Alligator mississippiensis: one gene and its partners. The protein of the gene in region 3 binds, or shares a complex with, the protein of the main gene of each other region. Links are inferred from orthologs where the notes say so. Each region holds a gene or a part of one and is shown on either strand. Other genes may lie near its edges. The genes, in order: CC2D2A, TMEM237, TMEM17 and TMEM216.

Region 1 (6,858 bases), on a different chromosome or scaffold from region 3:
CTCCGTCAGCTGCAAGCACAAGCAACGGGAGGGGGAGCGTCAGCAGCGCGCGGCCCCAGTCAAACTCAAGCCCCGCCCCCTCCGCAGGACCCGGATGTTGTGCGACACCCCCCCCAGAGCCCCGCCCCTAGAGTCCCGGCGCGCGTGCGCAGCAGTCAATCCCCCCGTGCAGCCCGTGCGGCGTTCCGCGCATGCGTACTGGGCTGATCTGGCGTTGCTGCGGCTCCGGTCCGTCCTGCCTGCCCGCTCACCGGGTTCTTCCGCCTCCGGGCCTCCAGCGCCGCCTGCAGCCCGCCCGCCTCCGCCTCCGCCTCAGCTCCGCGCTCCTGCCGCGTCCGCGGGGAGGCACGTCGGTGCATGAAACAGATCACACGGGAAAGAAACACGTTTAGGCCTGCGGGGCCGTCCTGCCCTGAGCCCGGCTGGGCCGGGGGCCTGGGAAACCGCTCCCTCGCAGCTGGCACCTGCCCTGGGGGGCTGCTGGCGCCGGGCAGAGTCTCCAGGAGACTGCTGAGAGTCACCGGGGAGATAAACGACGGGGCATTCGTCCAAATAAATACGAAATGCCGGCTCCCATTTAGACAGTAGTCCAGTGGGTTTTTTAAATGTAACAGTAATGTACAGGCGTGCAGCGCAATAGATTAATTGGGCATTAATGTTGTTCTGTCGCGTGCTGAAACCTCCCAGGATAGATGCAGAGGTGGCAACCTGCGTGCCTGTCGGGACGTGCAGGATGGAGACCTCGCTGCGCCCCCTGTTTAATACCCGCCTGCTCCAGATTATGCACCAGTGCTGCCCTGCCCTCTTGCCTGCCAGGCCTCATGGGCCATGCACGGGCCTGTTATGGGCCACATCCAGCTGGTGGTCCTGATCCACTGCCCAAGGAGGGTGCGCCGGAGCCCCTGTCAGTCGCACAAGAGGGTGATGGGCAGCCCAGCCCTGATCCAGGGGCTTAGCTCGCCTGGCAAAGGAGGATTGACCTGACCCCAATCCAGCTCCACAGGGGGAGGGGGAAAGGCCCAGCCGGGCAGGGGGAAAGGGGAGTGATCTGGCCTCACACAGAAGTGAGTGAGCCCAGCCGTGATGTGGCCATGTGGAAGAGGGGGTATGGCCCAGTTTCCACCTGCTGCAGGAGGACTCGGGGAATTTGGCAGTAGAGGGAAAGTGGGGACAGTGGCAGATTTACCATGAAGCAACCCGTGTGGTGACAGGGCCCCAAAATGCAGAACAAATCTGACAAATGACTAAATAAGCATTGCAAGTCGCAAAGCGGTCCAGAAATACATATATTACTCTTCATGTAATTGACAAAGGTGGTGGATGAACAAAACCGTATCATAATTTTTGGTGAAAGAAATTTCGTTAAAACAATATGTGTCATAATTATTAAACTAACCTCCATAACCATCATCTGAGATTCTTCACTGAGATTCATGTTTGTGATACATGGTACTTGGCTGTCACAAATAACAGAAATTACTGGCGGGCCAATATACAGATTAAATACTTACACACTGATCCAACACACTCCACATGAGGCATACCTCTGCACCATATATATATAACCTTTAGACTTATGATGTCTTAAAATATAATTATTTAACACTTCAAAGCAGTTTTGCAGTTTTGAAAACTGGATTTTTTCCTGTTTTTGTAATTCGCATAATCTTCAAACTAAGGCATAATGTGTGATAATTCTTAATAGGAGTGATGCCACTGACAGTCTGTACTGTCATCCCTGCTTCCTGCATAGGAGCAGGTTACAAATGTATTAGGGTTAAGAAAATGTGACCAGAAAATGTCACTCCGCTGCTAAAAACACCAAACGAGATTTAGGTAGTAAATTCAAAGGCTTTCCTAACTAGTGTTGGGGGCCAAACTAGCCCAAAGTATGGCTTGTATTCCTACAGCAGTATCAGCTATGCCCCATGCTAGTTAGGCAGCCCAGATCAGTGCAATCATACCAGCTCACAAGTTCATTCCCACTCCAGTACTGCACAGAATGGCTAAGTATAATGTCATTGCGTAAAACTGAAACATCTGCCTGTTTGCAGCACTAATATCCCAGGGCAATATAAATATTATACTTCAGTAAATTATAGCATTTTAATACTTAGCAGATTTCACTTTTAAAACATTAGAATAGTCTTGTATGTACATGAAAAGGACAAGGCCTTTGAATCATTTTAATGCTTTTCTAATATTTCTGGAAACTAAGTGCCATAAGAAACATTTTAAAAATATAATAAATAATTGAATTCCATGCTTTACACTAGAATACAAGAGATTTAAAATTATTCAGTATCACAGGGAGTTGCCTGTCTCCAGATGACTTACAACTGAAAATAGACATTTCTGCAGTTTACTAACTTCACTTTTAAAAATAAATTACCTTGAGAATCTTTATAAAAGTTGTTATAAAAGTTGTTTTGAGGATTTCTGCATCTTAAACTTGTCTCTAATAAAAATGGAGAATGTGGAGATACTTTAAAAGCTTTAAAAAGGAAATATTTGGGTCATACCTGGGTTTTCTTAGGCAGCATTTCAGGAGTTGCAATCAACAGTCTGCCATAACAAATACACCCATCTTAGCAACAAGGTTGCTAAGGAAGGTCACTGAGATTTGTTTTTAAAGAGAAAGAGTCAGCAAAGTGTCTATGGTTTGCTACATACACATAGGGAAAGACCATCCCTTTAAAAAAAAATCAAAGGAAAGAAATAGTGGTAAATAATGCATACAAAAGATCAAGGGATCATGGCCACCCTGGTCAAGCACTTACTTACACATGTGAGTAACTGCATTCACTTCAATTTTTCCAGCTATTTAGTTGGTCTAATAAAAGATATCACATTTATCCTAAGAACCTTGTCTGCCTATGTTCACTTCATTAAGACTCTCCAAATGTATATCTGCAGGATTTGCAGGATCAAAATGAAATTGTGCACTAATGGCCAATATGTATTACACTAATGTATGTAAAGATCTGGGGCTCTTTTTTATTCCCCAGTTCATAGACAGAATGCATAATATATATCCTTTTATTTTCTTGAAATGTAAGTTAAGTGGAGATGTGAGAAAAATCTGAACGTGCATATTCACCTATATTCCCATCCAAGTCAAGTACCACCATTTTAAAATTATATTACATTATGTTACATTACATTACATTACACAGCATTGAGGATCTAGAGTTCATCAGTAATAAGTGAGTAGGTGTGACAGTGGGCAAGGAGGGAATAGAGTTCAGGGATGGATCTACAAGGGGTGAAGTGGTTCCATCTTTCAGTCTGCGCTGCAGGAGCAGCAGCAGGCAACTTTTCTTAAATCCAGAAATCAGGTACGAATCTCTCCTTCCCTTCTCCCCCAATCTTAATTTTCTATGATTCTCTGTGCTCAGTGGCATATCCCATCTCCCCCCACCCCCCACTACTGCTGCTGTCCCTAGTGTCTCTGGCTGCCCCAGGGGAGTGGGGTGCTCCACAGCTGCTCCAGTTTTGCTTCAGCTGGGTTGCAGATGGAGCCAGGCTTGGCCAGGAGCAGCAGTGGCAGTGGGCAGGTTCCTCCTCCATGTCCAGGCCCCTGAGTATTCCTCGCTAGCCAAGGAGTAAGCTCAGGGAAAGGGAACCTGCCCAGTGCTGCTGCTGACACGGTCTCTGGCAGCACTGCATTGCACAACAGCATGGACAGCCGCAGGCAGGAGTGGGAGGAGAGTACAAAGGAAAAGGGAGGGAGCGCCAAGAATGGCAGGGAAAATTCTTACCTGTTTTGGGGACTCAAAAAAAAAAATCCCTAGCTGCTGCTCCCATGGCGTGGCTTGCCCATTCTTGTGGTGGAGGGAGCGAGGGAGGCAGAACTGGGAGTGGAGTTACAGACCCCCCTTCCATGTCAGTCGTTGCTCCCACACCCCCTTTACACAATCCTGGATCCAACCATGGCAGAATATAGAAAAGCAAACCTCCTTGGCTTCAGATTCCAAAATAATGCTTTTCTGTTTACTATCTCTACTTAATCCTATTCAGTCCTATCATCCAAAGGGACATTTCCCTCATTCAAAAACATAACAGATGGTAAAAAGATTTCCTTGAGAATATTACAATATTAGATACCATGCAGACTTCTTTATTTCTCATCAGTCATTTAAAGATAGACCTTTAAAACCATCACTTGACACAATCTCTTTAATACCATCTTCCATTTCTGATTCCACAAAGTTTTAGAAAAAATCTATATCAGTACTGCAGATAATCATGCCCACCCTCTTTGAAGATATGTATGCATTTCACACTATTGCAAATTTTAGCAAAAATTTTAAGAGGTATTTGTTTGGAACAAGCTCTGGAAAAAAATGGAAACATAGCATACTGTAAAACAATGTGTTTCTCAGAAGTTATGATGTAGAAAAGTAGGATGTTTTTCTTATAGTGTCATGACTATAAAGCTGTTAATAAATATTCTGGCTATGGGGAAACAAGACTCAGAAGCAGACATAACAGATCAGGTAAAATGCCATTGATTCTTATTTATAAAATTATTAATATATTCATAGACATTAGGGCTGGAAGGGACCTCGGAAGATCATTGAGTCCAGCCCCCTGCCCCAGGGGCAGGAAGTCAGCAGGGATCATAGGATCCCAGCAAGATAAACATCCAAATGTCTTTTGAAGGCATTCAAAGTAGGTGCTTGAACCACCTCCAGCGGCAGTCTATTCCAAACCTTGGGGTCTTGGGCAGTAACGAAGTTCTTCCTTATATCCAGCCTGAAACAGTCATGGAGGAGTTTGTGACCATTCAATCTTGTCATCCCTTGGGGCACTCTGGTGAACAGATGTTCCCTCAGCTCCTGGTGTGAACCCCTGATAAACTATAGGCAGTCACCAGATCACCCTTGAGCCTGCGCTTTTCCAGGCTGAAGAGTCCCATAGCTCTCACCCTCTCATCATAGGGTCTGTTTTCCTGACCTCTGATCATGTGTGTGGCTCTCCTCTGCGCTTTCTCAAGCTTCTCTGCATCCTTTTTCAATTGTGGAGCCCAAAACTGGACGCAGTACTCCAGCTGCAGCCTCACCAAGGCTGAGTACAATGGGAGGATGACATCCTAGGATTTGCTTGAGAAGCATCTATGGATGCAAGCCAGCGTTTTGCTCGCTTTACTAGCTGCAGCATCACACTGAAGGCTCACGTTCATCTTGTGGTCAGTCATGACCCCCAAGTCCCTTTTGTCTGTAGTGCTAGCCAGCGTAGCACTGCTAAGCCTATAAGTATGTTGCAGGTTTTTCTTCCCAAGGTGGAGAACCTTGCATTTTTTGGTGTTAAACACCATCAGGTTCTTGTCCTCCCATTTCCTAAGCCTGTCAAGGTCAGCCTGGATCACCCTCCTGTCCTCAGGTATGGACGCTTTACCCTAAAGTTTGGTGTCGTTGGTGAACTTGGCCAGTCTGCTTCTGATACCAATGTCCACATCATTAATGAAGATGTTGAATAGTGTTGGCCCAAGGACGAGCCTTGACGGACCCCACTGGTCACAGGGCACCATGACAATTGACTTCCATCAACTAGCACCCTCTGAGTCCGACCACGGACCCAGTTCCCCAGCCAGCAGATCGTGGTGAAGCCGAGGCTGCAGTTAGCCAGTTTCGCTAAGAGGTGATGATGGGATACCAGAACGAAGGCTTTTTTGAAGTCAAGATGTATGACATCAATCTCTTCTCCCTTGTCCAGGTGATAGGTCACCTGGTCGTAAAAGGAAATAAGATTGGTCAAGCAAGACCTTCCCGTGACAAACCCAGTATTCAAGCCACAACAAACCCGTGCTGACTATCCCTCAGGATGCTGCCGGTGGCCAGTCTGTTAAGAATGGTGTGATGGAAGGTGCCTGTCACGGCGGGGTCCTCGCGGAGGGCCGTGATCTCCTTGAGGCCCTCTCACCGCGCTACTTCGGCCCGAGGGCACCCTCCATTCTCGCCCGCCACGTCTTGATGGAATATATGTAATAGGGAGGCTGCCTTGTGTTTCCTCAGGCCTGTCAGCTCCTGGACCCCTCGTGGGTCTCCCCGTATAATGGGCACTACCCAAGCGCCCTAGCCTTATGGGCTATGCGTGGCTCCTACCTCCCCTGATACCACGCCCCAAGCCTCGCGGATGTAAAGGACGTTGTCCGGTCTGTCTCTCTACTGTGGCCCACCCTGGGCTCCCTCTCTCATGCCCAGCCTCTTGCTGGGACTCTCGTCTGGCCCACTCTGGGCCTCCCCTGCCAGTGTGGTTCTGCTCCGGGACTCTCCAGCGGGCCTCCGGTCCTATGGGCCAACCGCACAGACACCCTCCCTGACTCTGGCTCCCCGCGCTGCTACTCCCTGTCTTCTCAGGGGCAACCGCAGCGCCCTGCCTTGGTCTGAGGGGGATTGCCGCACTAGCCTGCGGCCGGGCTCGCTATGCCCGTGCGCCCACACTGGGCTACTCAACAAAGCACAATGGCGTTCCCCCTCTCTGGGGCTCGCCGCGCCCACACTGGGCTACTCAATAAAACACCATGGCGTTCCCCCTCTCTGGGGGCTCGCCGCGCCCCCACTGGGCTACTCAGTATGGCCTCGCTCTCTAGGGCTGCTCAGTATGGCGCTCCCCCCTTCTCTGGGGCTCGCCGTGCCCACACTGGGCTACTCAATAACGTACAAGGGTGTTCCCCCTCTCTGGGGGCTCACCGCGCCCACACTGGGCTACTCAATAACGTACAAGGGCGTTCCCCCTCTCTGGGGGCTCGCCGCGCCCACACTGGGCTACTCAATAAAACACCATGGCGTTCCCCCTCTCTGGGGGCTCGCCGCACCCACACTGGGCTACTCAGTATGGCCCCGCTCTCTAGGG
Region 2 (7,319 bases), on a different chromosome or scaffold from region 3:
GGGGCAGGCCAGCTGGGGGTTATGACCTCCCAGCCAGGCTAGGCCTGCCATAGTACATTAAAAAGAAAGAAAATATTATAATGATGCTCTAAAGAATAATAAAACTCATTTAGATCATAAAGTCCAAGTTTAGATACCTCATCTCAAAACAGACAACAGAGAATTATACAATCCAGAAAAGGGCAACCAGAATTGACAATGGTAAGGTATAGCCTGTGCAATGCATAGCTGATTTTTTTTCTTTTCCAAATTAAATCATTCTCCATCTGAAAAGGAGGATTTTCCCCAGTGTTTCATGTTGGGCAATCAAAAGCAATTAATACTTTTGAAGAATCTGGTCCACAAACACATAAAGCACTTAGGCAGCTTGGAGACATTTAAAAAAGCTCACTAAAGCACCTGATCTGTACAGATGTTGAGTGAGCCGGGTCCAACTAACACGCTGCCTCTTCTGGGCATATGCAGAGCTTGGCACAGGAGTGCACCAAGTTTAAATTATAGTACTGGGGGGGGGTGTTTGCAAGCAGCTTTAATAATTTATAATAGTTAGCAACCTGCTGTTAGGCAAAACTTTAGAAGTTCACACATTTAACATTAAAAACAGAACCAAGAAAAATAAACAGAAACCTAAAAGGACTCTGTATGGACAGAGTTTTGTCAACAATGAACCAACTCACCATGGTTTCCACTTCAGTTCCAAGGTTTTTTTCCCATTATATTGGAAAGAAACATGAAAAAAACAATATTAAAGGACAAGAACATTAGTGTTAAATCAGTTGCAATTCAGAACTGTACTAAAACTCAAAATGCAACCGACTTAAAGCATAAAAATGTATATGGTCTATTCACATCCCTTAACCTTACTTTTTACAACCATTTAAATATGACAACATTAAGGCTGCTTAACAAGACCGAAGACTGAACATTTTGTCTGCCTCATGTGACTAGGTACAGTTTCTTGATTGGTTAGCTGTAGATACAATTAAAAGCTTTTGTTAGACTATTTAATTAGAACTTGTCTGACTGTCTGCTATGCATGAACCAAGGAAAGAAGCTATAAATTAGTCAGGCAAGCAGCTATTTCATGATCAGTATTCACAGTTTCCTCTGTGATGTTTACGAGTACAATGTTACAGCTGTGTGAAGCTTTGGTCCCTGATTTGATTTGGCAGAGATTTGGCTTGATTCAGTGGCCAAATCTCCAAATCGAATCAGAGGACCCTTTAATCTCTCCAACTCAAATTGGAGCCCTCCAAATCGATTCAGAAAGATTCGGAGATTTGGACATATACACAGCTTTAAATGTTTTTTCTACATATCTCTAGGTAGCAGGCAGCTCGCGTACTTAGCAGCAGTCCTGGTAGTGGATCAGAAGCACTTCCGGTCCACTTCCAGGTCCGCTGGGGAGCACGCAGGAGGCGCCTCCCCCCCTCCCCTGCACCCCATAAGCTCAGCAACTAGTGCCTCCTGGGTCTGGGGGGGCACCCAAGGTCCCCCCATGGCTGATTGCCGATCGCCAAGCTGGGAAAGGTGTGGGGGGGCCCCCCAGAGCACTCCCCAGCAGACCTGTAAATGAACCAGAAGTACTTCCGGTCCATTTCCGGGTTCGCTGCCTAGCACGTGGAGCGCCCCCGCCCCACACTCCTGTAGGACGCTCCATGCACCCCAGCATCGCAGCGATCACAAGTCACGCCTGGTACCTCGACGTATGTAGAAAAAACTTTTAAAGTTATGTCTATGTCCGAATCACTGATTCCCTGAATCAGCATCGAAACTTCAGATTCAGATTTGGCTGAATCAAATCAAGGACAGTGATCTGAATCAACTAATCGAATCACTGTCCCTGATTTGGGCCAAATCTGAACCTGAATCAAATGGGGCCCACTTTGCACACCCCTAATGTATATGCGCCTCCAAGTACTTTTAAGAATTTTGACATAACGGACCATAAAAATGCCCAATTCCCATTCCTACCATCAAAACCTATCTTGATGTATGGAACATAGAAATTTAAGGATAAAATCTTTTCAACTCCTGTGTCAATATGGCATATTCAGAAAATTCTTATTCCCATATTCAAGATATGTTGGACACCAGTCTGATAAAAAAGTTTCTACTCAAAGCTCTCAAAATCTAAAATATAGACAAGAGGAGACATTTGGAAGAGGAAGATAAGGGGCTGAAAATAAGTTAGTGAGACTGAAGTAGCCTTTTTGTCTATGACTTTTTTTCTTTTTACCTGTTTTTCCCCCAACAAATAACACAAAATGATGAGGTAATATAACAAATTAAACTGCTTCCCAGTCTCTTTAAAAAATGAAAAGTCTTACAAGAGTAGCAGGGACCCATACCCCTAAACTTCTAGATAGTCAAAGTTAAGGCCTTGTTATACGTTAATTTTAGGCAGCTCCTGGAGCTTTTAACCCCTGAACACATTAACACCTGGAATTAGTTTTAAGCACTCTTTAGATCAGTGGTTCTCAACCTTTTTTGGACCAGGACTCATTTGTAAACATGGATGGCCAGGCCCGCCCTGGTGCCCCATGCTCCCAACCCGCTGCTCCATGCCCCCAGGCCCCAACCCACAGCATGAGGAGCAGGGGGTGAGCATGTGGGGGGCACCAAGTAGCCCCTTGCAGACTGGAACTCTGCCAGCCTGCAAGGGAAAAGTCATGGTTTCCCATGTTTTTCTCCTTTAAAGAAGAATCCATTTTTAAAGTTTGTTCATGACCCTTTTATATATTCTTGCTACCTGCTTTTAGGTTGCGACCCACGAGTTGAGAAACACTGCTTTAGATGGCTTTGTTATGCCACTCCAGGCTATATTTCTCTGATCTGTGTCACCTAACTTGTGTTATACATGCATACAGCAACTCTAGGCTACACATTAGTGTTACACCCCATCCAATCTCCAGTTCCCCTGCTGGCCTGAATCAGGCATGCTGCCCCTGCTATGTGCTCACCAGCACCTCAGATCCCCACTGACTGCTCCCCCCACTTACTTGTGGCTGCCCACACCATCTGTCCTGGGCAAGCAGGCAAGGAAAGGTTAATCTGCCTGCCAGTCCTTGCTCCCTGGGCTAGGCTCAGCCCTGAGAAGAGCAGCAAAGGGGAGGAGAGGGGGGCAGGCAGGTAGGTAGGTGGGTTAACCCTTCCCTGTCTGCTCCCCTGGGATAGACAGCAGCCACAAGTAAGAGGAGGGGTTGGGAGGTGGGAACCCCAAATTGGGAGGGGAGGATTCTTACTTCTCAGTCCTCCAGGCCCCTGTTCGCCTGAATGTGCGACTGCCCCAAATTCAAGCTAGCAGTAACACCAATCAACATTTGAGCAGCTCACAGTGTAACATACAACAAGGCCCTTACACTGTCCTACCACTTGCCCATTTTTAAAGGTACTTTTTAAAAAAGTAGTTACAATTATTTGCTGCTAAGGTAAAATCTTGTATAACAATGTAGTCTATAGCAAATTTCTTTGGTGAAGTGTGAAAATATAATATAATTAGATTTATAAAAGGAAAAAGCCTTAATTTTAGTTTTAAAAAATGATAGATCTACTCTTAAATTACGTTAAAATTTTATTCAGTAAAAAATTAAAACAAAGAGAGAGCAATATTTGTCACCTTAGTGAGATTTTGCTAAATCATTTAACAGCATTATGAGTGCCTTATGTGTTTACTGCACTCATCTTTCTTAATTTCATAATTTTCAAGTACATTCCAGTGTTCCCAAACTACCAAAATACATAGAATAAAATAAACCTACCTTGGCACAGGAGGAAGGGCACGGGGTGGACGCTGAAACAGAAAAGACAAAAACCTTCCATTAGTGTGTCATGAAATCTTTTACCTTTTGAGCCCCTACTAAATTATTTCAGAGAAAACAGCTAATTCCAAGTATGACCTTGGAATGATATTATGTTAGATGTCTCTAACATAGGCTACATCGATAGTCTTCCGAAAGGCAATTCTGAACACTGTATGTATAAACAATTCACAAATATGTTTTGAGATCACTGGATGGAAGTTAAGATGTAGAATTGTAAAGCAGTGTCTGGTACATATTTTGCGTCAATGCCTCAGTTCTGATACGTGCTATATTTTAGATAAACTATAACCATCTAAGTGGTAACAGTACTCTTTAAATACCTTCACCTTTTTATAAGAAAACTACATGCATAGGAAAGACAATTTATCATTCTAGTCAGGTACTGAACACAATAGAAGAACACTGCTGAAAGTAGGCATTTAATATCAATATATTTTTATATTATATCAAGAACAATTATAGGAATCACCAATGAAATCTTACATTTAGAAGTACAAACAAGGGCAGTGAGATAGTCCTGACTGTTGTTAAAATGCCGACTAGACTGTTTAATATTATAAAATGTTCAATAAAACAGAATATTTTCACAGTGGTGAAGATCATGACCATAAGGGAAAACAGAATTAACACTCAAAGAAAAATATTTCTTGTTGACAGAATAGCAGGTGTATAGCCCACACACTTGATAATTCTCTTACCTAGAAGAGTAAAACAGCTTAGATTCAGATTATTTATTGTCTTAGTGTACTAGACAAAAGGGAAAACTACTCCACGCTCCAGATAAAAACTTAAATTTAAATAAAAGCCCCACAAAAATGAAACAAGGCAAAGTTCCTCCAAACTGAACTTACCACTTGCTTCTTTCCCATGTCATTTAAAGCTGGTCCCTGAGAGAGACACTAAACTATTCCCTCTGACACTGCTTACATTGATCGTCAGCTAATTCAGCACTAAAAATAAGCTTCCCAGACAAGATTAACTGTATGTGAACCTCGCTGTCCCCAATTTAGGACCCGATACTACTCACACTGAAGTCAATAAGAGTTCTGCCATCAGCTTCCACTAGGAGCAGCAATGGGGCTGTTATTACTGCGTACAACTAAAAATGCAAGACCTTGACACCCTGATTCTTTACCAGTGATTCAAAGCAGGGGCTGTGGCAATCTCAAGATCCTTTCAAGGAGGCTGTGGGGTGCCACACAATGTTAGGCATTGTTAGGTTTTCAAACTTGACTCACAACATAAACCCAGAGATTTCAAACAGAAATCCATAGCTATGATCTTTTTGATTTCTTTGCAACAGAACCTTCCCCCCCCACACACACATACACACACTAGTTTTCTGTAGGCAAAGAGTAAAAACTAAGAGCTGACATTCTCCAAGGCATGCCTCTAGTCTCTCCAGGGGGTCCTTGAGTCTAAAAATATTGAGAACCACTCCTTTATTTACATGAGTAAACTTTAGCTATGCTAATTTAACTGAAGCAAGTGAGACTAGTGTGAAGATGGATTTGACCTCATGTCCCTATCCTAGATTTTATCTATGTTAGAAGGTAGACTGAAAGCAAATACAATTTATATGGCAGTGGATACAAACACCCTCCCATCAAGATCCATGAAGCCAGCTGCTACTTACTCTTCTTGTTGGACAATTCCAACAGGAAGCTTAGCAAAAATGTTGGCAGAGTATAACCCCACAATCAGTCATAGCTTTTTATGCACATATAATCATTATTAGGTTTTTAAAAACTAAAATCTGAAAAATTTCAAAACAACTTCATTTGCCAACTCTGCACAATATATACTGTTATCTACTAGACTGCAGCATATGCATTTGTCAGATATTCCTCAGGAGATCAAACAACAAAACAAAATCTCATTCGCAAACAGAAACGGTTCTAATGTATTCAGGTTATAAAATATTCCATACTGTTATATATGGGAGACTTCAATCACCCTGACATCTGCTGGGAGGACAATACAGCAATGCACAGGCAATCCAGGAAGTTTTTTAAATGGTGCAAATGCTGGAGTGGCCAACTAAGGGCTGTGCTCCTTTTGATCTGCTGCTCACAAACAGGAAAGAATTGGTGGGGAAATGTAGTAATGGACGGCAACTAGGGCAGCAGCAACCACGAGATGACTGAGTTCAGGATCTTGAGGAAAGGAAGGATGGATAGCAGCAGACTAAGGACCCTGCACTTCAGAAAAGCAAACTTTGAGTTGCTCAGGGAACTCATGAGCACGATCCCCTGGGAAGCCAGTTGAAGGGGGAGAGGAGTACAGGAGAGCTGGTTGTACTTTAAAGAAATCTTAATGATAGTGCAGGAACAAACCATCCCGATGTGCAGGAAACCTAGCAAGTATGACAGAAGACCAGCTTGGCTTAGCTGGGAACTCTTCAGTAAACTAAATCACAAAAAGGAAACTTGTAAGTGGAAACTCAGACAAACAACTAGGGAAGAGTATAAAAGTATTGCTTGAGCATGCAGGGATGAAGTCAGGAAGGCCAAAGCACAACTGGAGATGCAGCTAGCAAGGGACACGAAGGGTAACAAGAAGGGTTTCTACAAGTATGTCATTAGCAAGTGGAGGATCAGGGAAAGTGTGGGTCGCTTACTGAATGGGGGAGACAACCTTGTGACAGAAGATGCAGAAAAGGCTGAAGTGCTCAATGTCTTTTTCACCTCAGTCTTCCCAGGCAAGGTCAATTCCCAGATTACTGCACCTGGCAGCATAGTCTGAGGAGGAGGTGAGCATCCCTTAGTGGTGAAAGAACAAGTTATGAACTACTTAGTAAAGCTGGATGTGTACAAGTACATGGGACCAGATGGAATGCACCTGAGGGTGCCAAGGGAGTTAGTGATTACAGAGCCACTGGCCATCATCTTTGAAAACTCATGGGGATCGGGAGAGATCCCAGATGGTTAGAAAAGGGAAAATATAGTGCCCATCTTTAAGAGGAAAAGAAGGATCCAGGGAACTACAGACCAGTCGGCTTCACCCCAGTCCCTGGAAAAATCATGGAGCAGATCCTCAAGGAATTAATTTCTAAGCACTTGGAGAAGAAGGTGATTAGGAAAAGTCAGCATGGATTCACCAAGGGCAAGTCATGCCTAACCAATCTGACTGCTTTCTATGATGAGATGGCTGGCTCTGTGGATGCAGGGAGACAAGTGGATGTGGTATACCTTGATTTTAGCAAGGCTTTTGATATGGTCTCCCACAATATTCTCACAGGCAAGCGAAAGAAGTACGGGCTGGATGAAAGGAAGTACAGGTTGGATAGAAAACTGGCCATATCATGAGGGACAGAGGGTAGCAGTCAATGGCTCAATGTTACCAGCCAGTATCAAGCAGAGTGCCCCAGGGGTCGATCCTGAGGCCAGTTTTGTTTAATATCTTCATCAATGACCTGGAAGATGGCATAGAGTTCACCCACAGCAAGTTTGCAGAAGACATCAAGCTGGGGGTAATAGTAAATATGTTGGAGGG
Region 3 (7,768 bases):
TTTGCCTTTAATTAGACAAGCTTATTCGCATTACCTCATATTTAGTATGATATCAATAAATACCTGAATGAATTACTAATGATCTGTTTCTCTTATGTCCCAAAGAGCAGTTCAGAAGAACTGGCACTTGCTACCATTTGTGGGCAGGTGCCAAATTCTTCTTATGATCTCATTTCCATTTCCTGTTAAACATCTCTTGTTTCTGCATGTGCAACCCAAAAGTTCTGTATCTTTTTTTTTCTTTAAGACTTGTGACCTGATATGTAACAACACTATATCATTGAACCCATCTTCAAATATTGGCTAGTTTCTCTTTGACTTCCAGTCTCCTACCTGTCCTTGCTCTACCTCGGAAAGCATCATCATTGTTTCCAGTTCAGCCTCATGCAGTCATGGTACCTTCAATTCTCAGACATATCCCAGAAATCTTTTTATCAGATGCTGAAGTATTCATGATAATTAATTAGCTAGGTGGAGGGGCAGGAGAATATAGTAAAGGAACTGGGACAAGGCTTTAAGGTAATAGTGTAAAGAGGCGGGACTGTCTACACTAAAAACAGAAGGTACAAGATGACTGACATGTTTAATAGTCCAACATTTTTATGTATAAAAACTATTCCAACTAGGAGGAATGGGAGATGACCTACAGACCTCCAAAAAATGTTCATTACTTAGCTATAACATGCTTTCTTAGTTGCAGCCTGTCCTGATGAATGCAGGACAGTTCATTTCCAGATATTAGAAAAGGAACTGCTTCTGGAGAGCCGTTCAGAACTGGAACAACGTATCAGTTGATATCAGCAGCCTACCCTTCAATGGATAAGTAACATCTAATTACAAGGAGGCATTTTAAACTGTTGCAAGTTACTTATGGATAATGGTAATGGTTTTGATTAATGACAGAGGCCAAGATTTTTAATTTTCTGTGTGACCATCTTGTGATGCTATGCTACACTGGGTTGTTCCAAGTATTATTCCAATGGGTACATTTCTGAAATACCTGTCCTAATATTTCAATATTAGGCCAAATTCCTAATACTTGGATTAGGATTTAAGATTGAGTTTCAGGTAAATAGTTGACAAAAGTAGCCAAAAATGTCAACTTCTTTCCCCCACTCTTGAACTAATTTAATTGCTGCTTACTGTAGGGTGCAATAGGACGCACCGGAGTAAGATACTGGGTGTATTTGTCTATCTTATTCCTTGTATTACAAACAGCAAAGTATTTCTTCATTTGTAATTTTTTATGTAAAAAAAAAATCCTATTTGATACTAAAGGTGGTGGAGAAGCGGAAGGTATCGAACCAGGCTTTATAAAGTATGATGCTTGCTATTATAAAGAGGGGACTGAGAGAATTTAAGCACTGAAATGGGTAAATCCAATGCCTGTGACTCCCTGTGTTATTTTAGCACCTGAAAACCCCCAAATTGCAGGAACAGCAGAGGTACAGGGGGTTCAGAAATGGAACGGTGCTGTTTACTGAAGGACCTGAGCCTATACTACTAGTTCAATTACCTCTGGTGCTTTTTCTACAGTCCTGGAAGCCCTGGAGCCAGGCTGTTTTGGTATTAAAAAAAAATTAAAAAGACAGGCGTAAGGCAGGGTAGGTATGTACCTTACAGACTAAGTAACTATGATTCTATATGTGTGTGTATATCTATACAGAGAGAGAACAAGCTTTCTTGAAGTCCACCCCACTTTAGCAGATGCTGCGAAGAGGAGCCTAGACCAGCGGTTCCCAAACTCTGACAAATTGCGCACCACCAATTTAAAACAATACAACCTTAAGAACCACCAGCAAATTTTTCAGTTTGACCTTAAGTATCACCAGCAAATTTTTGTCATATATAATAATAATAAATCTGTTAATGTGTACCACTGCCACGGTGTCTGTGTAGCACTGGTGGTACGTGTACTACAGATTGGGAACCGCTGGCCTAGACCTTTCACTGCCACTGATGAAGAGAGCTTGAGTTCAGGAAAGTTAGGGGTGTGAATATACACCTGTGTGTATGCCTGTTTGCATGTGTGTAAATACTTACACACACCCAACCATGTGTACCTCTGTCCAATTCAGAATTTGTGGTAGGGGTGATATCTTTTATTAAACCAACTAGATTTTTTTGGGGGGAAAAAAAGGCTTCATAGATTTCATTGACATTAGTGCTGATCGAGTCCAGCCCCCTGCCCCACTGGTAGGAAGTCAGCTAGGGTCAAAGTATCCCTCACTTGCAAGCTATCTTTAATTGCAATTAAAGACTTTTTTTCTTTTTTGCAAAAATCTAGTTGGTCTAACAACAGATGTCACCTCTACCACGAGTTCTGATTCCTTTTGCCTCATGTTGCTACAACCTGGATATCTAACTCATTAAGCAGAAAAAAGCCTGCCCCGCCCGTTGGCAGGACCCGAGGACAGACAAAGGCAGTGCAGCTCAGCCGGTACCACTGCGCACGCGCTCACCGTGCCTAGCGGGAGGAGGCGGTGCCCTTCTGACGGGCTAGCCCGTTCCTGCCCCGCCTTCAGCGCCCCGCCCCCTTATGTGGTGGCGCCGCTGTAGTCCCAGGCATTGAGCAGCCGCGGGGACTGCTCGCTCGCAGGTTGGGAGGGAGGCTCCCTTCCACCTGCGAGTGAGTGAATGAGTGTAGGAGGGGCTGCGCCGTTGGTTCAATGTGCGAGCGAAGTAGAGGAGGCACCTGGGCCGCCATCTTGGTTCCTGGCAGCGACCCGCGAGGGTGCCGCCACCGCCGCCATCTTTGCCGCTGGCACGGGAGCCAGGCCTTACCCGGGCTACAGCCGCCGTCGGGGTACTCCGGGCCGGTGCGGTTGCTGTCGCTGAATACAGTCCGGCTGAAGTTGCTGAGCCGTCTCCGGACTGGCTCCGGCAGCGCCATGTCTGACCGGGAGCCTCTAGGCCGCCAACGTCCCGGTTGCTATGGGAACCATGAAAGCGAGTCAGAACGGGCGCCCCGCCCCCATTGCGTGGCCCAGTTAGCGCCTCTGCTCCCCCTGAGGGGCTGGACGGCCCGCGCATGCGCGGTTGTTCTACCTAGTTTTGGAGCCACGACAGCTCTGCTGGCTCTCCCGGGGGATGGGGCTGCAGGCGGGTTGAGTCCCGATTTGGGATGGGGCCCTGGGGCTCCCGTCTGGCCTCCACTTAGGGCTGTGTTGCCGGGTTATCATAGTTGCACGATAATTTCAAGCCTTGTACGAGGTACAATCAATAATAGTAAAAGTGTTCAAAATGTAGGACATACAAACGACTAGAACTCTTGGTTCCAAAATGATACCTTTTATTAGACCAACTGGAAAATGGGAAGAAAATTGTCCTTTTCTGCAAGCTTTCAGAGCAAAGTCCCTTCGTTAGGCTCTGGGAAAAATGTAGATGATACAAGATGGTAAAAAGTCCCCATAGGTAGGAAATAAACTTAATTTTTGCACACATGATTTTGGATGATTTTTGAGTTTTTGCATGATTTTTTGAGGCAGCTCATTGATGCTACATATGCAAAACCCAAATCACTCTCAGGGAGTCTTCAGTGACTTCTGTGTTTGCTGTTAGCACTTTCTTATGATTTCTTCCCTCAAAATGAAGAGGGGCTTCAAAACTGACAACCCAGTTCTCACTCACTGGTGGGTTATACTGAGCAATGTAAAGTCAATAAGAAGAAGACTTATTTGCGTATTTCCCAGTGTAGGATATTTTTACAGCAAATGAGATAATTTTGAGCTTCCAGTATGATCATTTACTATTTAAGACCTGACAATGGTGGCTTAAGGCAGTGCAGCAGCTTTTCTCATTACCGGTGCTTCACACTAGTGCTAGGGGCCTTCCCCCTTGAGTCTAGGGTCAGGCCCATCCTTTTAAAATGATCCCTGAACCAGGCAGGAGCCCTGTTGAGTGCAGCACAAAGGTACAAGACTGACAGGCCTGCAAGCACAGAGCCTGGGGCTCTCAGGGACCAGCTTCTCCTGGGTTGCGGCAGGGTGTATCCTGCCCCAAGGGCCACGGAAATTGCAGGTCTGTTCTCAGTGTCCTGTTCCTGTTCCCCCAGTGTGCTGAACTTAAAAACTACAAAATACATGTTCAGGAGGCATGGCTGCACTGAGCACAGTTTGTCCTTTGCCCATTAGGAAGAGTCCAATGGAAGAAGGAGAGAAAGAAGCTGGGTCAATCAGTGTCCACGCTTTCCCAGCTTTTCTTTTGCTCAGAGGGAAATTGACACTTGTTTCATGAATAACATCGTGCTGTGAATGACTGCATTAGAAAATATTCCCTCGGTTGAGACACTCGCCTGTGTTGGGGCAAGTTAGAGTCTGATGATACCATCCCATATTATTTTTGAGTGTCCTTTTTTCTTCTATCTGAGTATTTCCTGGCCCTAAAAATTGCCAAAAAGTCTCTCTTACTTTTATTTTAAAAATTTGGTCACCTTACTAACCACGCATGGAGCCCCAGGAGGAACGGATCAGTTTGCTAAGGCTTATTAAAATGTTATAGGGTCTGATGTTTTCAGAGAACCAGGGTGAAGTCCTTCAGTACAACTAATTGAGTATGGAAGAAATGAGTATGTGGGCACACTAGAAGGGAGGAATAGGCTGCAATTGGACCTAGACAGGTTACAGGGGTGGGCAGAAGAGAACAGGATGGGTTTCAACACTGACAAGTGCAAGGTACTGCACCTGGGGAGGAAGAACCAGCAGCATACCTACAGGCTGGGGAACTCCCTTCTTGTCAGTGCAGAGGCAGAAAAGGATCTTGGAATCATTATTGATGCCAAAATGAACATGGGCCGACAGTGTGGGGACGCGGTCAGGAAGGCCAACCACACCTTGTCATGCATCCACAGATGCATCTCAAGCAGGTCCAACGAGGTGATCCTCCCCCTCTATGCGACATTGGTCAGGCCACAGTTGGAGTACTGCGTCCAGGTCTGGGCGCTGCACTTCAGGAGGGATGTGGCCAGCATTGAGGGTCCAGAGGAGGGCCACCCGCATGATCAGGGGGCAGCAGGGCAGGCCCTATGAGGAGGCTACGGGACCTGAACCTGTACAGCCTCCACAAGAGAAGGCTGAGGGGGGGATCTAGTGGCCTGTTATAAACTAGTCAGGGGAGACCAGCAGGCATTGGGGGAGTCCCTGTTCCTCTGAGCACTACCAGGAGTGACTAGAAATAACGGTCACAAGTTGGCAGAGGGTAGATTCAGGCTAGACTTCAGGAGGCGCTACTTCACAGTCAGGGTGGCTAGGATCTGGAACCAACTTCCAAGCAAAGTAGTGCTGGCTCCTGCCCTGGGGGTCTTTAAGAGGAGGCTGGATGAACACCTTGACGGGGTCGTTTGACCCCAGTACTCTTTCCTGCCATGGCAGGGGGTCGGACTTGATGATCTGCTCAGGTCCCTTCTGACCCTACAAACTATGAAACTATGAAACTATGTAATTGGTTTCCCCCTTAGACCACAGCTGAAGATCAGTTTACAGCCTTCAGCATGAATAGTGATAACACTTGTAATTTTAGCCTAGCTAATGTAACTATAGAATGTAGTCATATAAATGTCAAATCCATTTCCTTTCTGCACCCCTCCCCCTCCTACAACAACAACAAAAAATCTTACCAAGCTATTTCCCTTGGTAATATTGGCTGGTAGCGAATTTCACAGATTAATTATCTGTGACTGAGAAGAATGTTTTAATCCATTTTAAGTTTAATTCCCCCTATCCCACTAGGTCAACCACACAGAAAAACCATAAACATCACTTTTGAAAAGTTTGTTTGATTTTGAGCTGGTGAAAGCAGCTGGATCGACACCAGATTTGCCTCAAAGGGCTTCCCGTGGAGGCAGGGATCTTACTGCTTGAATTCTTCAGAAGGCATGTAAGGGAGGAAGGATTTTTGGAGAGCCACAGGCAGGTTTAGGGAAACTAGAGGGTCCAGTAGTTTCTGGAGAGGTTAGGTTCCCAGCTCAGGAGTAAATACTTATATTGAGTAGATGGATTTGCCAAAATGATGATGCTGGCAAATGTAGTACAGCTTATAAGGTTGGTCAAGTGTTGTTATCCCTATTTTACAGATGAGGAAATGCAGCAAGGGTCTAATTCTGTAGAATGCTGAAAGCTCTAAGATTCAGTACAAGTCCTGGGAATGAGAAGAAAGGTAAGCCAATTAACCTTAAAGCTTTAAGATGAAAGACAAATAATACAACTTTATTCTAAGAAAGGTAGGTCTATCCTGTTATCAAAGGTACAGTTCATACCACATGTAGACTAGTGTTTCTTCAATTTTTGATACTTGGGATGCCTTTTTTAATGGATTAAAATTGGTGGCACACCAAATGGGTGCGTGCATGTACATATATTTATATATCTCTTATTCAAAACAAAGAATTCAGGAAGAAATTATACCAGTGTTAAATGTACTGTTAACAAATGACACCAAATATATCTTTCTTTAAGCAAAGATACATTTCTATACCAGTGCTTCTCAATTTTTTTAGCCTCTAGGTACCTCTGTAACTTTTCTGTATTTCATGGCACCCCAGTTGAAAATCACTGAGAGATCTGAACTCCGAAAGAGAGTGTGTGTGTGGGGGGAGCTTGTAGCTAAAAAAGTTGAGAATCATTAATTTAGCTTGTGCCACTTAAGCAGTGGGGGCAGATGTTCACCTGGCTGAGCCCTGCTCTTCCCACTGTCTGCCCCCTCCCAACCTCTGGCCTGTACCTCAGGGCAAGGGCAGGCCATCCTGGTGAGGCTGTCCCTAGGCTGCCCCTATAGGGTCTTGCATGCCAGTGACCACCCTTGCAGGTCCACTTGACCCTGAGAACATGGGAGGAGTGAAAGGGATGAGCCAGGTTGCAAACTGCTGCTCTGTGTGCACCTACTCGCCCGCACCCAGCAGACCTTTTTGCTGGGAGCAATGGAGGGGGGCGGGCAGGCGCCTGGCTAGAGTGATCACCTTTTCAAAAGGGGAAGACAGGACACATGTCCACCTCTCCTCTGTCCTGCTGCTGCCACCACCATGGCTAGCTGAAAGCCGAAAGGAGCAGAGCGGATGCAGGTTGCCTGCTGTGGGCTCGGGGCATCCTGCTCTGCTGCCTTTCCCCTGGGAGCCCGATGCTGGCTGCTTGACCCCTTCCCACCCAGCAGCAGCAGGGGGCACAACTCCATGCTATTACCGCCCCTGCCCTTGCTGCTGCCAGGTGGGCAGGGGGCACCTTACCATGGTGGCACGGCCAGCACAAGCCCCCCTGCAGCAGGGTGGGGACCCCTGAGACCATAGTAGGCAGCCCACATCTGCCTCTGCCCCGTGCACAAAGCTGGTGGGGCATGTGCTCCACATTACCCCCGCTCCCTGGAGGAACCTCCCACGGTTCTGTCCTGCTCCTTGTCCTGACCCCATGCACCACCTTGGCTGGGCATCATGCCCAGCCCCTGCCCTGCTCGCTCCCTCACCCATGGGGGCATTGATCTGTACCCCCCCCACCATTGACTTACCTGCAGGGAGCTGCTCTCCATGCTGCCTGGCTGTATCTCCCAGCCATGTGCATTTGTGCAGGCGTACACATGAACTTAGCACCCCGCTGCCAGCCTGCAAAGGGAAACCGGCTATTTCCCGATCCCTGCAGGTGCTGCGAATCCAGGACAAATGCTGTCCTGTAGTCATGAGGCCGGGAACTGGGACTTGAGGTTCTCATTGCAGGACTGTCCCACCCAGTTAGGGATGGGTAGTTACCCTAGGGCCGGTACAAGGCTGCCTGGGGGCAGGGAAGGG
Region 4 (7,498 bases), on a different chromosome or scaffold from region 3:
CATGGAGTCTTCGCGCCGCACTTCTGCACCTGGCTCAGAGCCGCTCCCGCCCACCTGCCTGCCCTCTCTATGATCCAAGTCCTCCAGATCCCAGCTAGAACCGGAAGGAGGCCCCCATTACTCTGCACCCTTCCCTCCGCCTAGTCGGCTGCTCTGCTTTCTGCTTCCGCATGACCCGCTGCTCGGGTGTCCACCCCCTCCCAGATGCGCCACGTGCAGCCGGCTGCCCCCACCCCCTGACTCAAGGCAGGCTGGTCCCTGCTTGAGCCTGCCCCGCAAGTAAACGCTGTCCCTTTAGCCCGTCCAAAGCCCGGACCACGGGGACCCCACAGTCGCGGACCAGGACCTGCTCCGGGGGTATCACAGCGGCCCGTGCCTCAAGCGGGGGCCATGCCCCGGTCCTCCAGCACCATAGAGAGGCGAGAGCGCCACGTCTCACTCCCCGGAAGTGCCCGCAGAGTGGCAACGGGATACTTCCGGTCCCTCCGCCTGCCTCCCGGGATGGCAGCGCGGTCGCCATGGGGATGCAAGATGGCGGTGTCAGGCGAGTGAGGGCCCGTTGGGAGGGGGTGCCTGTGCGGAGACAGTGTCACGGGCACGGGGTAGGCAAGGGTCCCCCTCCTCCCCCCGGCCCAGGCCTTGCCAGGAATAACACCCACATCTCCCCCTCCCCCACCCCCCAGGCTCCGGGGCGCGTCCGTAGGGCGAGGCGGCGCAGGAGGCCCCGGGCCCCGGGAATGAGGTGGCTCCGCAGCCCGGAATGCAGCCACTGAGAACACGGCCCGCGGGGAAAGATGATGCTGCAGACCAGCAGCTACAGCATGGTGCTCTCCCTGCAGTTCCTGCTGCTCTTCTACGACCTCTTCGTCAACTCCTTCTCGGAGCTGCTGCGCGCTGCGCCCGTCATCCAGCTCGTGCTCTTCATGTGAGTGCCGGCAACCGGGGATGGCAGGGTCCCCACAGGTGCCTGGGAGTTCACCGCCCTCTCTCTCCCCCACAGCATCCAGGATATTGCCGTCCTCTTCAACGTCATCATCATCTTCCTCATGTTCTTCAACACTTTCGTCTTCCAGGCCGGCCTGGTCAACCTGCTGTTCCATAAGTTCAAAGGGACCATCATCCTGTCGGCAGTGTACCTGGCTCTGAGCATCTCCTTCCACATCTGGGTCATGGTAGGGCAGGACCGTGCCAGCTTCTGGGATCAGGGCGTCTCGCCAAGGGGCATAAGAATCCCTTATCTGTCTAGTCAGGGACTTCATCCTCCTCCAGAGCAGTTGAGCTCATCCAGCAGTACCTGACACCCTGCGGGATGAATCTGCCTCCTCTGGTAGCCCCCTCTGACAGTGCCTGATATCTACAGTTTCAGACGTAGGCCCCAGGATCTCCCTGTGGTGTACCCAGCCCGTTTTGGCCACCCGCTAGAGAGAACCTCTCCTGTGAAGTCTTGCCAGGCTGAAGCTGTGCTTGGATCCTACCCTGCCCTTTCAGTCTGAGAGGTCAGGACTCTTGCACCTTGGAAGGACCCCATGTCCCCGACTCACCTGGAGACACAGTGGGGCTACGAAAAGAATGAACTTGCATGTAGCCACGCAGTATCAGAGCCCCTGTGCCCCCAGGACCTCCCTGAACATGTTTGTCACACCTTGCTCCAAACAAGGGAGGAGCTCTGGAGCATTAGGGAAGAGAGTGCAAGTCCCTTTCCCTCCTGTCCTCCCAGAGGGCAGCAGCAGGGTTGGGGGGAGCTCCACTCTTGTCTCCCTTGTGACAGGGAGGATCTTGCTCTCCTCAGGTGCACAGAATCTTTCTTGGATGGGGCTAAGTTTGCTTCTCTACTCCCAGCATTGCGCTGCCACATCCCAGGAGGCTGAATGCAGGGCCAAGCAGAAACTCATACTGTCTGCCAGGTTCAGGGTGGGACATTCCTCCATTACTGAATGTCTGGCCAGCTACTGCTTTGGAGGGCATAATCCTGGTTGGGACTGCAAACTGATTGCTGGGGGTGCTTCCCAGGCTGGGTCCTGTGCTGTGACTGCAGGCAGGCTTTGCTGTCTAAGTCCAGGCCTTTCTTGGTGTCATAGTGAGAAAGGAGGCTGGGGCTGGGGGCAGTCACTCAACAGTTCAGGCATTGTACAGAGCTGAGAGGGTTTGTTGGTTCAAAATGTGAGGATTAGCCCACCTCCTCCCAGCAGCACTTGGAGGCCAGTGCCAGAGCAAGCAAAGGCATCGGTGCCAGAGCAAGCAGAGGCATTGGTGCCAGAGCAAGGCTGGCAGGGAAGCAGCTCTCCCAGTGGAGAAACAGAGGGTTTCCCTCCTGCCTGGAGGGTTATAGACCTGGCTGTCAGCTTGGCATCAGGTCATGCAAACCTGACAGCTGGGACTATTACTACTCCATGACTTTCTGTTCATGATGATCTTGCTCCATGGAGAACCAAAGCCAGTGCTAGACAGCACCCTCCTGACAGGGGCCAAGCTGCTGATTTCAGTGATCACTTGTGGGTGCTTTCTAAGTGGGATACGGTGAGGGAGTCATGTTTAAAAAGACAAGAGTTGTGAAATGGTTGTGGCTGGGAGTCCTCAGACTAGAAGGGAGTAGCCTGCCCTGGATGCTGGGCTGCTGCTGGCTCTGGTTCCCTGTAGTAACCAATTCTCCAAGTAAAGCTAATCCACTGTCAGAGTGGCTTGATGGCAGGTGTGATGTGTTGCATGGGATTACTGCCCTGGCAAGAGGTGCTGGAAAGCTATCCCAAGGCACAGCAGGGGGAGTGTGTGATGCACCCAAAACCACAGAGTAAGCAAACAGAAGAACTGAGGGTAGAACCCAGGTATCCTGTTTCATCCCTTCCCTCTGCCTGCATCCCTGTTCCTAGACCATAGCCCCACTGCTCTGAGGTGCCTTTTGCCTAGATCAGGTGAGGGCTTCTGCATTGTGGGTGCTGCCTGTGGCTCTGCCTGGACAGGGTGATTTAAGAGGATTCCCAGAGAGATGCTTCCAGGCTGATCTCTGATTAACCTCTGCATGCTTCGAGAGCTGCTCCCTGGCTGTTCTGCTCTGTGTCTACAATCAGAATGGGCTTAGAGACAGACAGTTATTCTTGCAGGGAAAGGGATCAGGGCAGTGGAGGGATTTTTCACCCTGCTTGCCCACTAGGGGGCACCAACTGGCTCTGGGAAGCTGACACAGCTGCCTTTCACTGAGGAGCTGCAGTTAGTGTGACATAAGTTGAAGGCTGAACAAAGCCTGGAGGGGGAGCTGTGGCCCTTTAGAAGAGACCCAGTAGGCAGTGCTGTGGTCTGGCACTGGGCTTATGTCCCCCCCACCCAAGGCCTCTGCTCCTGGTGTATGTGTGTCTCTTTCAGAACCTGCGCTGGAAGGACTCCAATGGCTTCGTGTGGACAGATGGGCTGCAGGCACTCTTCGTGTTCCAGAGGCTGGGTAAGGGCTGGAGGCAGACTGATGCAGGGCAGAGGGATGGACAGACATGCAGGGAGCCATTAACAGCCCTCCCTGCACACACAGCACAGCTACTGTGCTGTCAGTGGGGTGGGCTATGGTGCCCCCAGCCTGGGATTGGGGGTTAAGACACAGTGTTTGGCCAGGCTCCCAGTTCTGTCTGGGGGCATGAGGCCTCCCAGCACACTGGTGTGCCCCTTTAGGCAGTGGGGGTGGGGTAGCTCTGGCCTGCTGGGCTTGCTCTCACCCACTCTCGCTCCCACCAGCGGCTGTGCTGTATTACTACTTCTACAAGAGGACTGCTGTGCACCTGGGTGACCCCCGCTTCTACCAGGACTCCATGTGGCTGCGCAAAGAGTTTGCTCAGATCCGCACCTGATGATCCTCTCAGGCACTGGACTTGGGGATGGTCTGCCCACTAGTTCTGCACCTCGCTGCTCAGCACCCTCCAAGAGAGGCGGACAGTCACCCTCGAGGCCAGCACCTCAATGCTGCATCTGCCCCTCACTCGCACCCCTCCGCTCCTTCTCCCCGCCGGAGAGTGTGGACCACTCCCAGCCCTGCTCTGGCCCTAGCTGCTGCCTCCTCATGCACTGACGCGAAGGGCCAGATGTGTGTGATTGTGCCCTGCTGGCACCGCAGCTGCCCTTTCTCATCCCCCTGCCTGTCACTCGCCCTTCAGCTCCGGGCACCTGCTAGCAGCAGCTCCCACGCCCGTTCCACTTGGTGTCCTGGGCAGGCCGAGGCTGGCTGTACGGCCCTGGGGCCTCTCTGCCCTCATTAGCCTGTCCTTTTGTACCCCGTTTTATAAACGAGCAGAAAATTAAAAAGGCTCCATTTTCCAAAACCTGGTGCTGTGTGTGTGCATGCAGGCGAGTCTCCAGGGTGCTGGCCTGCCATACTCTCAGTGGCTACTGTCGCAGGAGGCCAGAGGCTGAATCCCCTGCTCTGGCTGCGGCCCCCCAGCCTGGCCGCGGCCGGGGAAAGAAGTCTCAGTGGCCGCCCCGGGGGGGGGGGGTGTCACGTGACTCCGAGCGGGTCCTCCAGAGGCGGAGCGGCGGGCTGCTCGCCAGCCCCCGCGCTCCCGGAAGCGCCGGCGCTGCGTGCCATGGTTTCCATGGAGATGGAAGATGGCGCCCAGAAGTAAGTGCGGGGGGCGCGGGACCAGGCCGAGCTCCCCCAGCCTCCGCGGGGGTCACGTGACCCTTCTGGGCCCGCCCTACTGGCCCCCCCCGCAGGTCCAGTGGCCAAAGCCCCCGGGAGCAGCCCCCGGCGCTGGGCAGTGATGGGGGGGGCCCTGCCCTTGAGCGGAGAAAGGCAGAGCAAGACCCGGGGCGTGATGTCGGAGCTGGGCGCGGCGGCTGCAAACGGGGCGCGGGCTGCCCCTGGGAGGGGCTTGTGTCCGGTCCTAGCTCCGGAGCCCGGCCGGGCGAGGACCCTGCGACAGCACCAGGCAGTTGTAAGGAGGAGGGCGGACCAGCTGCTGAACCTCCTTTGTGGCGCCAACGTCTGTTAGGGGGGCAGCTCCCAGCCTCAGCACAGAGCAGCCCCTCGCTGCAAAGCGCTGACAGGCCAAACGGGCAGCGAGAGCGGTGGGTTATGTTATCCCTAGCTTAGCAAGAGGAAACAGGGAGTAACTTGGGATCAGATGTGTCTAACGCAATTTCTTTGCAGATGGGGGTGTGGAGGGAATCATTTGGTTACAGTCTGATGTCTTGAATGGCGGAGGCTAGAGGACCTCCCCCCCACAACAGTGTTTTGAACCAGAACGGGTCTCAAAGAAACCCCTTGGCCTTGGTTTAGCAGCAGCTGGGGAGGTAGAAGCTGGGGGAAAGCTGTTCCAACGGTTACTTGCCTTCACTGCTCGAGACATGCACCTTATTTCCAGGCTAATGGTGGCAGGCTTCAACTTCCAGCCCCAGGAGCTTGTGTGTTTGTTCGCGGCCAGGATGCTGAGGTTGAGAGCTAGGCCTATCATTACACAGCGATGGTGGTCCCAGGCTCATCAGGAACTACAGGCCCCCTCAGTGGGTGGAGAGCAGCCACTACATGAAGGATGACTAAGTGTTTTGGATAAGGGATGAAAGCACAGGAACGGGAGCACAGGTCAGAGGTTGGTAAGGAGGGCGCCGAGAGAGATCACTGAGCAGGAAACGCCAGTTATTGCCCGCTGCCCCTTGAGTGGATCCAGGGAGTCTGTGGATGCTGCTTAGGGACGTTCTTCTCAGAGGCATGCGTGGGCAAGGAAGGCACCCCAGTTCCCCTTGGCCAGCACCTTCTTTCTGGCCGGGAATGGGAGTCTGGTCCCAGCTCTGCCATAGATCTGAAGGCAAGTTGCTTCACTTCTATGGGCCTCAGTTTCCCTACCTGTAATATGGGGGCAGCTGCCTTCCTTCACAAAGTGCTTTGGGACCAGCAGATGAACAGGGCTAGAGTAGGGAGCCCGTCACATTGGTTTGTTCCTCACCCACTGCCGGGGTGTTAGCACCAGGCCCTTTGAAGACCTCGTTAGGTCCCTACTTGCATTTTAGGATGCTGAGGAGCCTTTTAACACCAGCCCTCAGCAACCTGCCCAGTTCCCATGGAGCTGGGGATGGAGGAGCATCCTAGATTCCTTGCACACCAGGGCCTTCACCACCTTTCCTCTTGTTCAGCCCCATGCATTTGATGCCCCCAGAGAGCCATGCAGCTCCTCAGCCAAGAAGGAGGGAGCAGCATCTTGGGAAAATATATATGACCCTTTCCTCCTCCTTGCTAAGGTGCCTTACCTGTTCATGCTCTGCTTGCTTTCTCCACCCACCCCCCAGGTCGCCAGCTCTCCTCCACCCCATTGGAAATCCTGCTGTTCCTCAATGGTTGGTATTACGCGACCTACTTCCTCCTGGAGATCTTCATATTTGTCTATAAGGGTAAGAGACCTTCCCAGGCGCTTGTATGTGCTGTAGCCCACCACTGATTGCATTGGACATCAGATGCTGCCCACAGGCTGATGGAAGAGCGACAGAATGAGCTGACCCCTGCATACTTAGAGGCTTCCCTAGCACCGCTCCAGCCCATCCATCTACATCAGTGGCCCCAGCCCCCTGCAAGACTGCACCTGAGCAGGGAGGGGTGGGAGAAAGCCAGAAACTTTGCAGTTTGGCTCAGGCAGGAGCTGTTAGACAGCCTGTCTTCCCTGGGCTTTGTAACCTCTCTGACCACTGGCACATCCCTAGGGCTTATCAGTTTATTCAGTGGGTAAGGGACAGTGGCACCCCAGAGAAAAAGGGTGGGGGTGTGGCCTTGCTCTCCTCCTGAAAGGGATGGCCTTTGTGCCACAGGGCTGCTGTTACCTTACCCATCTGCCAACCTGGCCCTGGACCTGGTCATGCTCTTCCTCTACCTTGGCATCGAAGTCACACGGATATTTTTTGGTGAGTATTTAGGAAGAACAGGGCCAGGTGCCACCTCATGGTAAGAGCCTGGGGTGGGCTTGGGCTGGTGACAAGCAGTTGTCAAACAAGTGGCTTTTGGTCCCCACCACAGGGTCACTGTCCTAAAGCAAAGGGGCTCCTCACTTCAGCCAATTGGGCGCCCAACAAGAACCCAACTGGGCATCCAACAAGAACCAATACCATAGGGAGGAATCTCCCCGTACCACATTCCTGGCCTGTGGCCAGTGCCCTAGAGGCAAAGAACCTTTTACCCGATTCCCGGGCTCCGTGGGCAGGCAGATCCTGAGCACCACCTCTTTGTAGGGAACGACACGGGCTGTGCATGAGATGCTCACAGCCACATTTCATGACAGGCTCCAAGGGGAACCTGTGCCAGCGGAAGGTGCCACTCTCCATCAGCCTGGCCCTGACCTTCCCAGCGGCTGTGATGGCAGCCTACTACCTGCTGCTGCAGACCTATGCCCTGCGCCTGGAGGCCATCCTTAATGCCATCCTGCTGCTCTTCTATGCTGTGGAGCTGCTCCTGGGCATCCTCACCCTGGCCTCCTTCTCCAGGTAACTGTTCCTCTGCTGTAGGGGGAAATGAGATGGGTAGGGGAGGAAGACCCTGAGT

Evidence for each region.
Region 1: TMEM17 (region 3) and CC2D2A share a complex: the UniProt entries of both Homo sapiens proteins name them as parts of the tectonic-like complex. The link is inferred for Alligator mississippiensis from reciprocal best matches to the Homo sapiens genes TMEM17 and CC2D2A.
Region 2: TMEM17 (region 3) and TMEM237 share a complex: the UniProt entries of both Homo sapiens proteins name them as parts of the tectonic-like complex. The link is inferred for Alligator mississippiensis from reciprocal best matches to the Homo sapiens genes TMEM17 and TMEM237.
Region 4: TMEM17 (region 3) and TMEM216 share a complex: the UniProt entries of both Homo sapiens proteins name them as parts of the tectonic-like complex. The link is inferred for Alligator mississippiensis from reciprocal best matches to the Homo sapiens genes TMEM17 and TMEM216.

What each region holds. Positions count from the first base shown.
Region 1 is NC_081825.1:32,741,244-32,748,101, reverse strand, and holds the start of CC2D2A (coiled-coil and C2 domain-containing protein 2A), read right to left. Parts: upstream 3,005-6,858; 5' UTR 1,436-3,004; coding exon 1,397-1,435; intron 337-1,396; exon of another isoform or gene 327-336; coding exon 252-326; exon of another isoform or gene 200-251; intron 62-199; exon of another isoform or gene 10-61; coding exon 1-9. UniProt on the Homo sapiens protein: Component of the tectonic-like complex, a complex localized at the transition zone of primary cilia and acting as a barrier that prevents diffusion of transmembrane proteins between the cilia and plasma membranes.
Region 2 is NC_081827.1:170,806,866-170,814,184, forward strand, and holds the start of TMEM237 (transmembrane protein 237), read right to left. Parts: upstream 3,022-7,319; coding exon 3,003-3,021; intron 1-3,002. UniProt on the Homo sapiens protein: Component of the transition zone in primary cilia. Required for ciliogenesis.
Region 3 is NC_081824.1:212,938,377-212,946,144, forward strand, and holds the start of TMEM17 (transmembrane protein 17), read right to left. Parts: upstream 3,012-7,768; 5' UTR 2,894-3,011; coding exon 2,785-2,893; intron 1-2,784. UniProt on the Homo sapiens protein: Transmembrane component of the tectonic-like complex, a complex localized at the transition zone of primary cilia and acting as a barrier that prevents diffusion of transmembrane proteins between the cilia and plasma membranes.
Region 4 is NC_081825.1:177,624,287-177,631,784, forward strand, and holds the start of TMEM216 (transmembrane protein 216), read left to right. Parts: upstream 1-4,493; 5' UTR 4,494-4,581; coding exon 4,582-4,594; intron 4,595-4,916; exon of another isoform or gene 4,917-5,564; intron 5,565-6,258; coding exon 6,259-6,360; intron 6,361-6,771; coding exon 6,772-6,864; intron 6,865-7,238; coding exon 7,239-7,440; intron 7,441-7,498. Other genes in the region: TMEM138 (transmembrane protein 138), read left to right, coding at 795-925, 1,001-1,172, 3,358-3,433, 3,718-3,830. UniProt on the Homo sapiens protein: Part of the tectonic-like complex which is required for tissue-specific ciliogenesis and may regulate ciliary membrane composition.